Linked DNA regions of Macaca fascicularis. The protein of the gene in region 2 purifies or fractionates together with the protein of the main gene of each other region. This does not show direct contact. Links are inferred from orthologs where the notes say so. Each region holds a gene or a part of one and is shown on either strand. Other genes may lie near its edges.

What was found. Proteins that work in one complex are often made in the same cells at the same time.
Region 1: the proteins of SLAMF6 (region 2) and SH2D1A purify together in Homo sapiens (co-immunoprecipitation; 5 studies listed by BioGRID and IntAct, with this or other methods). This does not show direct contact. The link is inferred for Macaca fascicularis from reciprocal best matches to the Homo sapiens genes SLAMF6 and SH2D1A.

Annotation. Positions count from the first base shown.
Region 1 is NC_088395.1:130,579,588-130,583,682, forward strand, and holds the start of SH2D1A (SH2 domain-containing protein 1A), read left to right. Parts: upstream 1-1,295; 5' UTR 1,296-1,375; coding exon 1,376-1,512; intron 1,513-4,095.
Region 2 is NC_088375.1:100,560,201-100,564,972, reverse strand, and holds part of SLAMF6 (SLAM family member 6), read right to left. Parts: intron 1,108-4,772; coding exon 775-1,107; intron 1-774. UniProt on the Homo sapiens protein: Self-ligand receptor of the signaling lymphocytic activation molecule (SLAM) family.

The DNA of each region.
Region 1 (4,095 bases), on a different chromosome or scaffold from region 2:
ATCTGCCTTTGGTGCAGGTCAGCTCTGTACATCCAATCCATTGGTAAGCCACGTGAGGAATTAAGTGTCGTTCTCCCTATTGAGCTTCCAGGCTTGCCATATTCTCCAAGAACTACACACTGAAGTTGCAGAAAGCATATAATAGACGACATAGCTTCAGCTATTTAAGTTCCAATTTTAAAAGTACTTTACATAATCTAAAGGTACATGTATAAGACCATTCAGCTTCAGCAATAAATAAAGTCTTACTCTAGTGAAAATGCAGGAAGTTTTGGGGAAATATTACCTAGCACATTTTGAAATAGAAGCAATGCTTTATTTCAGAGAAGAAAATGCAGATTGAAAGGTTTTAAAATATTAAAGACAGTTTAGCATCAATTGAAGAAATAACATTTTCTAGAAACAACAGAGAATAAAAGTTACAATAATATTATCAACAACTTGCAAATGATTCAAAACAGATTTTATGGCCAAAATGCTGAAAGTTGGGCCCTATACACCAAAGGGCACATACAAATGCATATAAAGGCAAAGCACCAGTTAAATGATTCACAGTCTCATGTAAAGCCCATCAAATAGATAAATCTGGAAAATCTTTGGATGTACATTGTGACTTTTGTATCTCAACTAGCACTTTGGGACCTTGGACAAGGTGTTAGGAAAGAAATCAATATTTACTCAGGACCAAGACTTTCAAGATGACTGCGTGAGGTAGAAGGAAGAGGGAGAAGAAGAACTTGCCCAAAGTTCACTGTTCATCTACTATGTCCGATTCTGTGGGAGTCTTCATGGCCATGTTCAGTAATGATTTCATACTGACAGTACTGATAAAACCATCAGTGTTTTGTTCTCAGAGCTTTTGATCCTTTCATTTTGTTAGTATGTTTTTGCCCTACATGATGGGTCCACATACCGACAGAGACATGTACAACTTGCCTCTATCATCAACTCCTTACCGGCTAGTTGAGCTAAGTTATTCCTGGTGGCCTCTGAGTAAACTGCAAGAACAGAAGCATTACTAAGCATCCCTGTCTGAGTGCAAGGGTGTGTGTTGGCAGTACAGCCCCAATCTTGCAAAATCCTTCTTCCAATGTTCCTTCCCGCTCTGTATGAACCCTGTGTTGGGGGGCAGGAGATGGAAGCCCTTGGCAAGCTCGATTGAACTAAGCTACTAAATTGCTGAGCTCGTTTTAGTTGAAGTGTGAGAAGGAGGTTTAAGGCAAGTAGACAACATCCTGTTGTTTGGGTGCTTCTCTCTTTTTTGCACATCTGGCTGAACTGGGAGTCAGGTGGTTGACTTGTGCCTGGCTGCAGTAGCAGTGGCATCTCCCTTGTACACTTCTCCTCCTCGGCCTGCCCAAGAGTCCACCAGGCCATGGACGCAGTGGCTGTGTATCATGGCAAAATCAGCAGGGAAACAGGCGAGAAGCTCCTGCTTGCCACTGGGCTGGATGGCAGCTATTTGCTGAGGGACAGCGAGAGCGTGCCAGGAGTGTACTGCCTGTGTGTGCTGTGAGTATGATACAGTGGGCATGGGCCTGCTGAGGGTGTGGGCGGTGGGCAGCGGCAGCTGGGGCCAGGGTGGAGGCCGAGGCAGGCAGGGGCGCCGGCATTAGCAGCTCGCCGACGACGCCTCCATGGTCCGCCCTCAAGTCCAGCCCAGGGCCGTGGTGAAACACACTTTCGCCTGAGTCCCTCGCTGGGGATTTCATTCCCTGGGCCACCTGCTCTCCAGAAGGCCCTCACCAGAGCCTTTTGGGGCAGCCGCAGAGAATGCCCTTTCGGGTGCTGAAATGTGGTCTAGAGTTTACCTTCGCTCCAGGAAAGACCCAGGCTCCCCACTTCTATTTTGAACCCTATCGGGTGGTGCCCTGGGAGCCTTACTCTAGCTCTCTTTAAACGACTTTTGAAGTGTCATCCCAAAGGAAGGGCATGACATTCAGGGAGAGGAGACACATTAAGAAACAGAGTCAATTACTTTAAGAATGCAATGCCAGTAAAGTCGAGATGCTGAGAGAGGAGGGGGATGTGTATGAGTAAAATCACCTCTCTGGATCTGCTGATGTAGCATCCTTTAGAAAAGTAGTGGGGGGTGGGGAGGGGCAGGGGATTTCAGAAATAGGACCCTTCTTGATAAACGTTAGGACTCACAATAGTCTTAAAGGGAATGGAGGGAAAACACCCTTGTTATGATTCAGCTTTGCCATTTGCCTAGGCATGTCTCAGTCTAAGGCTTCATTTTGAATCAAATTCATCTGCGTCTTTGCTCCAGGGCTGCGGAGTCAGGCAGATCTGAGACTTTGTCCTGTGCTAGTCAGATGTTAGGCTTGTGACCTGGGCAAATTAACCTCTCAGTCCCCCAGTTTTCTTATCCATTGAATAGGTATCATATTACTGCCTACCTCATAGGATTGTAAGATTAAGTGCTATAATGCAGTAAAAAAATTAGCACTGGGGCCTGACACCTAGTAAATGTTCAATAAATGTAAGCTATTGGTATTGTCATTATACCAAAAATATATTGTTATTTTATCTTCTCTTTTCAGTTGATTTCTTTTAGGAATCATGGGGGCATTTCTAAGGAAGGACCTAGCTCAAGCATTATTGTCAGCAGGATAAAAAAAATCCATGAAAACAGCAGCCCTGCATAGTAGGTTCTAGACAGAAACCAAATGAGGTTAAATGCTTGGTAGTAAGTTCAGCATCTGATGATACCCCACAAGAGTTTGAAATACCTTATGGGTCAGTGAAGAAAGATTATCCTGATGCTGGTGCTAGAGGATTTTCACTGTATATTGGTTTTCAAAAATGGTCAAGCCTTGTTTGTGGCAGCTCTCAGGTCATGCTAAATACATTTTTCATAAAGGCTTCCAGGGAAATACGTGGAAGTTATTGAATGTCTTGGGCTTGAATCTTTATGTTTTGCTTATATAATTATGTTCCCGTGTGGAATCTAGGGAAGGGCAATGAAAATCAGCTAGGATTCTTAGGCTCTTTTCTCATTGAGAGAAGGTGGAGTGAGTGGGTGGGTGAAAGGCGCTGCTTTAGGGAAACTGACAAAGGAGATAATGTGCTCCTTAACCCAAAGGTGAAAAAGAACATACAAAACAAGTCTGGGCAGGGGAGGGACAACAGGGTATAGTGAGAGGCAAGATACACCTAAGACTTCAGCCTCACCAGGCTCCTGGCCGTTTCTCAAGCTCCTCAAAAATGCCCCCACTTAGGATTTCTGTGCTTATTGTTCCTTCTGCCAAAAATACCTTCAGTTCACATGTTTGTTCAACTGCCTCCTCCCTCAGAGAGGACTTGCTTGGCCACCTATCTAGAACAAGTGCCCTCTCTCTGTCCCTGATACACTCACTCCATCTCTTTATTTTTGTTCAAAGAGCTTTAAACTATTTGATAATTTGCCTGTTTACCTACTTATTGCTGGGCTGTCCTGCAAAAATATAATCTCCATGAGGGCGGAGACATTGTCTCCATCACCAGGAACACAGGAACACATAATAGGCACTCAGCAGATATTTTTGAATTAACAAACTGTTAAGGCAAATTCTATTCTTTACTGCAAGAAAAGGAATGAACATCGAGAGGTTAGGGTGTGGACCCTGGGAAAGTCACTCAAATTCTCTGGGCCTCAGTTTCCATATTTATAAAACAGGAATAGTAATGTGTATCCTACCTTCTGCAAAAGATTGCCTTAAGTACCATATACAAGAGAGAAGGACAACTTTAGCCTTTTTCCTATGTGGGCCAGAACCACATGAGGAATTAACTTAGGCAGGTGAGAAATTCTCAAGCATTTAAGTTTTTGCCCAAAGTGAATCTTGCATAAATGCTTTTTTTATGACTCTCAGTTCTCCATGAAAACTGCCTTGTGAAGTAGCGGAAAATACTAGACAAATTGGGAGTTCCCTTACGGTGTCTTTCAAATGGTACACTGGGGACTCAAAGTCTTATGAGACTGTTTGGGTGATAGCCAGAATGTACTGCAGAGGAAAGATATAAGGATACATTGCCTTTTATCAGTTTCTCAACGTTTTTGAGTTGAGTGTCCCTTTTGACAAATGTAAAAAATTCATTCCCTCTTTTTGG
Region 2 (4,772 bases):
GTCATTATTCTAAAGCCATTAATGGCATCTCTGAATATCACTGGTTGCTAGAGAGGTATTTTTCTGATATTGACTCATAAGCAACCTCATTATAGTTTCCATAATTTTATGTTGATAACGTTTTCATTCTTTTTAATCTTGGGAAGGCAGATTGTTGACTGGTGATTAATATGAGCCATTGGGGGAAAATATTGTTAAAAATTAAATAAACTTGACAGAAAGGATGCTTCTCATTATCAGCCTATCTTTGCAGAGAACTTTCTAGGTAGACCACTATTCTATACACAGATCACTCTACTGGGTCAGACTAGCCTTTGTGAAAAGGGAGGTGTTGTGGCAGGTAGTTATGTGGGAAGTGCTGCCATTACTATCTCTGTGACTTGTACGCAAATCACTGTGACTGAGGCTGTGCCTCAAGGGTATAAGATCTGTACCTACCTCATGGAGGCTTTGTGAGAATTACATGGCAAATACATGTAATGCACAAGGCAACACTATCATAAATATTTGATTTCCATTACTTCTGCTACATTTCCGGTTGAAGAAGACCATTTTACTGGAGTGAAGTAATTCTGAGCTGGGACACAAGACAGGCTCTGTCCTCAGCTCTGTCATTAACTGGCTTTGCAATGTCATTGTGTTGACACTGACTCAATGACTCCAAATGCCATATTCTTTACCACTAGGTGACAGTGCACATTTGAAATCACATAGGATTGAAATACATGTATATTTTTCAGTCCATATGGAATTAAACCCCATATTTTGACTCACTGAATATCCTCAGAGTGTAACTGGACAGCTTTACAGAGGTCTCTGTGGTTATCTGGGCACTGTAAGAGCCTGTGTCTTCCATCTCCAGGTTGCTGAGTTTCAGGGAGTAGGACTGGGTGAAGTTCAGTCGCTTTCGCTGTTTAGGATGAGTCACGCGGATATTTGGACTTTTGGTTTCAGAGGGTTCTATGAAGGCAAGAGATGTTCCATTGCAAAGCCAAGTGATGGACGCGATCATCTCTCCAGCAGAAAGCTCCAGGGGAAGAATTACCGACTCTCCCAGAACCCCATTCACCATCAGTGGGGTTGAGCTGCTTTGTGAAACTAGATTCCCTGTAAACACAGAAGGAAAAGGTTTTACAAATGTTCCTGACAATCTCCCTGCCAAGTCCTGCACCCTTTCACCTAACTCTGCCAGTCTGTTAGAGCTCTCTGATACCAAAACTCAGAGATATGACAGAGTAAGAAAGCATAAGGAGATGGTTCTAAACGAATAATCACAGTCCCAGAGCTTCACCTCTAGCAAAATGTCAGCCACTCTTGGTTAGTAGGCAGCTAGTCTATATGAAACTGGCTCAGTCCACGCTGGGTTCTACACTGGCTGGTCACTCCTAGGTCATAACTATACTTTGTGACCCCAGCCTCTGAATTCCTCTGACATTAGGTTGAGGGGGACAGGAAACTATAGACTCCAAAAACTGCAAGTCTTTGCTAATAAAGTATAATTAAAGCCTGATATTTACTGATTGCCTACTGTGTGTCCATCTTAGTAGGCTTGTGCAATTTAGAAGGCTGGTAATAGGGACTAATATCAGGGATTTATAGGATAGTCAGTTCTTCTTATACATTATTTCATTGATGCTGACTACAATCTGTGAGGCAGGCAGGATGGATATTATTACTTCCATTTATAGATAAAGGAACTGAGCCACAGAAAGGTTAACTAATTTTCCCAGGGTTGCACAGCTAAAGAATAGCAGAGTCAGGATTCAAACCCAGGTCTTCTGACTCCAGTGACTTTGTATTCTTTTCATTATACCAGAAGATATTTCTTTATTCTCTCAGAAAGATTAGGAGGAGACAAAATTGATACACATAGAAATAATATATATAATTTCATAGTAACACATGATGGCCACATTCTTGTGAGCTTATTCAGAACTATCAATGTTTAAGCAAAAAAGGTGAAATAGTCACAATGATTCTTAAAGAAGATGCTTCCTTAGCATCCTTTCCCAAATTCTTAGCAATTCTCACACTATTTTGTAATCTTGTTCACCTGTTTGTCTAACTGACCATGCCTTAATCATCCTTGCATGTCAGTACTCAGCACCATGTCTGACACGTAGTAGAGTCTGTGGAAATGTTCTAGAGGGTCAATGAATAAATAACCATAATCATTACCTAACCTTCTCAGGATCTCTTCCTTCTTTTTCTTAAAAATTTCAACTTTTATTTTAGATATGAGGGTACATGTGCAGGTTTGTTACATGGGTATATCGCACCCAGATAGTGGGCATATTAACTAATAGGTAGTTATTCAACCCATACCCATTCCCTTCCTTCCACCTCTAGTAGTCCACAGTGTCTATTAATCCCATATTTATGTCCATGTGTGCTCAGTGTTTGGTTCCCACTTATAAGTGAGAGCATGTCATATTTGGTTTTCTGTTTCTGTGTTAGTTTTCTAGGATTATGGCCTCCAGCTCCACCCATGTTGCTGCAAAAGACATGATTTTATTCATTTTTATGGCTGGTTAGTATTTCATGGTGTATACGTACCACATTTTCTTTATCCAATCCATCATTGATGGGAACCTAGGTTGATCCTTGTCTTTGCTTTTATGAATAGCATAGTGATGAACATACAGGTGCATATGTCTTTTTGGTATAATCATCTATTTTCCTTTGGCATAATCATCTATTTTCCTTTGGCTATATACCCAGTAATGGGGTTGCTGGGTTGAATGGTAGCTCTGTTTTAAGTTCTTTGAGAAATCTCCAAACTGCTTTCCACAGTGAAAATTTACATTTCCCGCTAACTGTATAACTGTTTGCTTTTCTCTGTAACCTCACCGTGGGACCTAGCACCTATTTTTTTTTATTTTTTGACTTTTAATAATAGCCATTCTGACAGAATAGTAAGGGTCCAGTTTCAATCTTCTGTATATGGCTATACAAAAATATAAAAAAGTAGATTAGTGTATTCTGAGTTTTCTATTCTCTTCCAGCTGTCATTCTGACAGAATGGCTATTATTAAAAAGTCAAAAAAGTGTATTCGTCCATTTTCACACTGCTGATAAAGACATACCCAAGACTAGTAATTTATAAAGGAAAGATGTTTTATTGACTCACAGTTCCACATGGCTGGGGAGGCCATGGCACTCACAATCATGGCGAAAGGTGAAGGAGGCACAAAGTCACTTTTTTTTTTTTTTTGAGATGGAGTCTCGCTCTGTCACCCAGGCTGGAATGCAGTGGTGCAATCTCAGTTCACTGCAAGCTCCGCCTCCTGGGCTCATGTCATTCTCCTGCCTCAGCCTCCCGAGTAGCTGGGACTACAGGTGCCCGCCACCACACCCGCCTAATTTTTTGTATTTTTAGTAGAGATGGGGTTTCACTGTGGTCTCGATCTCCTGACCTTATGATCCACCTGTCTCAGTCTCCCAAAGTGCTGGGATTACAGATGTAAGCCACCGTGCCCAGCCAAAGTCACATCTTACATGGTGGCAGGCAAAGAGAATGTGTGCAGGGGAACTCCCCTTTATAAAACCACCAGATCTCATGAGATTTATTCACTATCATGAGAATAACACAGGAAAGACCTACCCCCATGATTCGATTACCTCCTATCGGGTCCCTCCCATGACATGTGGGAATTATGGGAGCTCTACAGTTCAAGATGAGATTTGGGTGGGGACACAATCAAACCATATCATAAACCAAACCAGCATCTATTTTTTTTTTTTGACTTTTATTAATAGCCATTCTGACTGGTGTGAGATGGTATTTCATTGTGGTTTTGATTTGGATTTCTCTGATGATTACTGATGTTGAGCATTTTTTCATGTTTGTTGACTACTTGTATGTCTTCTTTTAGGAAGTGTCTGTTCATGTCCTTTGCCCATTTTTTAATGGGGTTTTTGCTTATTGGTTTAAGCTCCTTATAGATTCTGGATATTAAACCTTTGTTGGATACATAGTTTGCAAATATTTTCTCTCATTCCGTAAGATGTCTGTTTACTATAATGATAGTTTCTTTTGCTGTGCAGAAGCTCTGTAGTTTACTTAGGTTCCACTTGTCAATTTTTGTTTTTGTTGCAATTGCTTTTGGGGACTTAGCCAAAAATTATTTGCCAAGGCCAATGTCAAGAAGGATATTTCCTATTTTTTTCTAGGATTTTTATAGCTTGAGGTTTTACATTTAAATATTTGATCCATCTTGAGTTAATTTTTGTATATGGTTAAAGGTAAGGGTCCAGTGTCAATCTTCTGCATATGGCTAGCCAGTTATCCCAGCACCATTTATTGAATAGGGAGTCCTCTCCCCATTGCTTGTTTTTGTAGGCCTTGTCAAAAATCAGATGGTTGTAAGTGTGTGGCTTTATTTCTGAGTTTTCTGTTCTCTTCCAGTTGTCTATGTGTCTGTTTGTGTACTGGTACCATGCTGTTTTGGTTACTATAGTCTTATGGTATGGTTCAAAGTCAGATAGTGTGATGTCTCTGGCTTTGTTGTTTTTGCTTAGAATTGCTTCAACTATTTGGGCTCTTTTTTTGGTTCCATATGAATTTTAGAATAGTTTTTCTAATTCTGTGAAGAATGACATTGGTAGTTTGATAGGAATAGCATTGAATCTAGAAATTGCTTTGGCCATTTTAACGATGTTGATTCTTCCAGTCCATGAGCATGGAATGTTGTCATTTCTGAGGGTTTCTTACTTCTTATGAGAGGAGCAGAATAGGGGAGGAAATGTCTCTTGGCGTCCTAGTGCTCAGC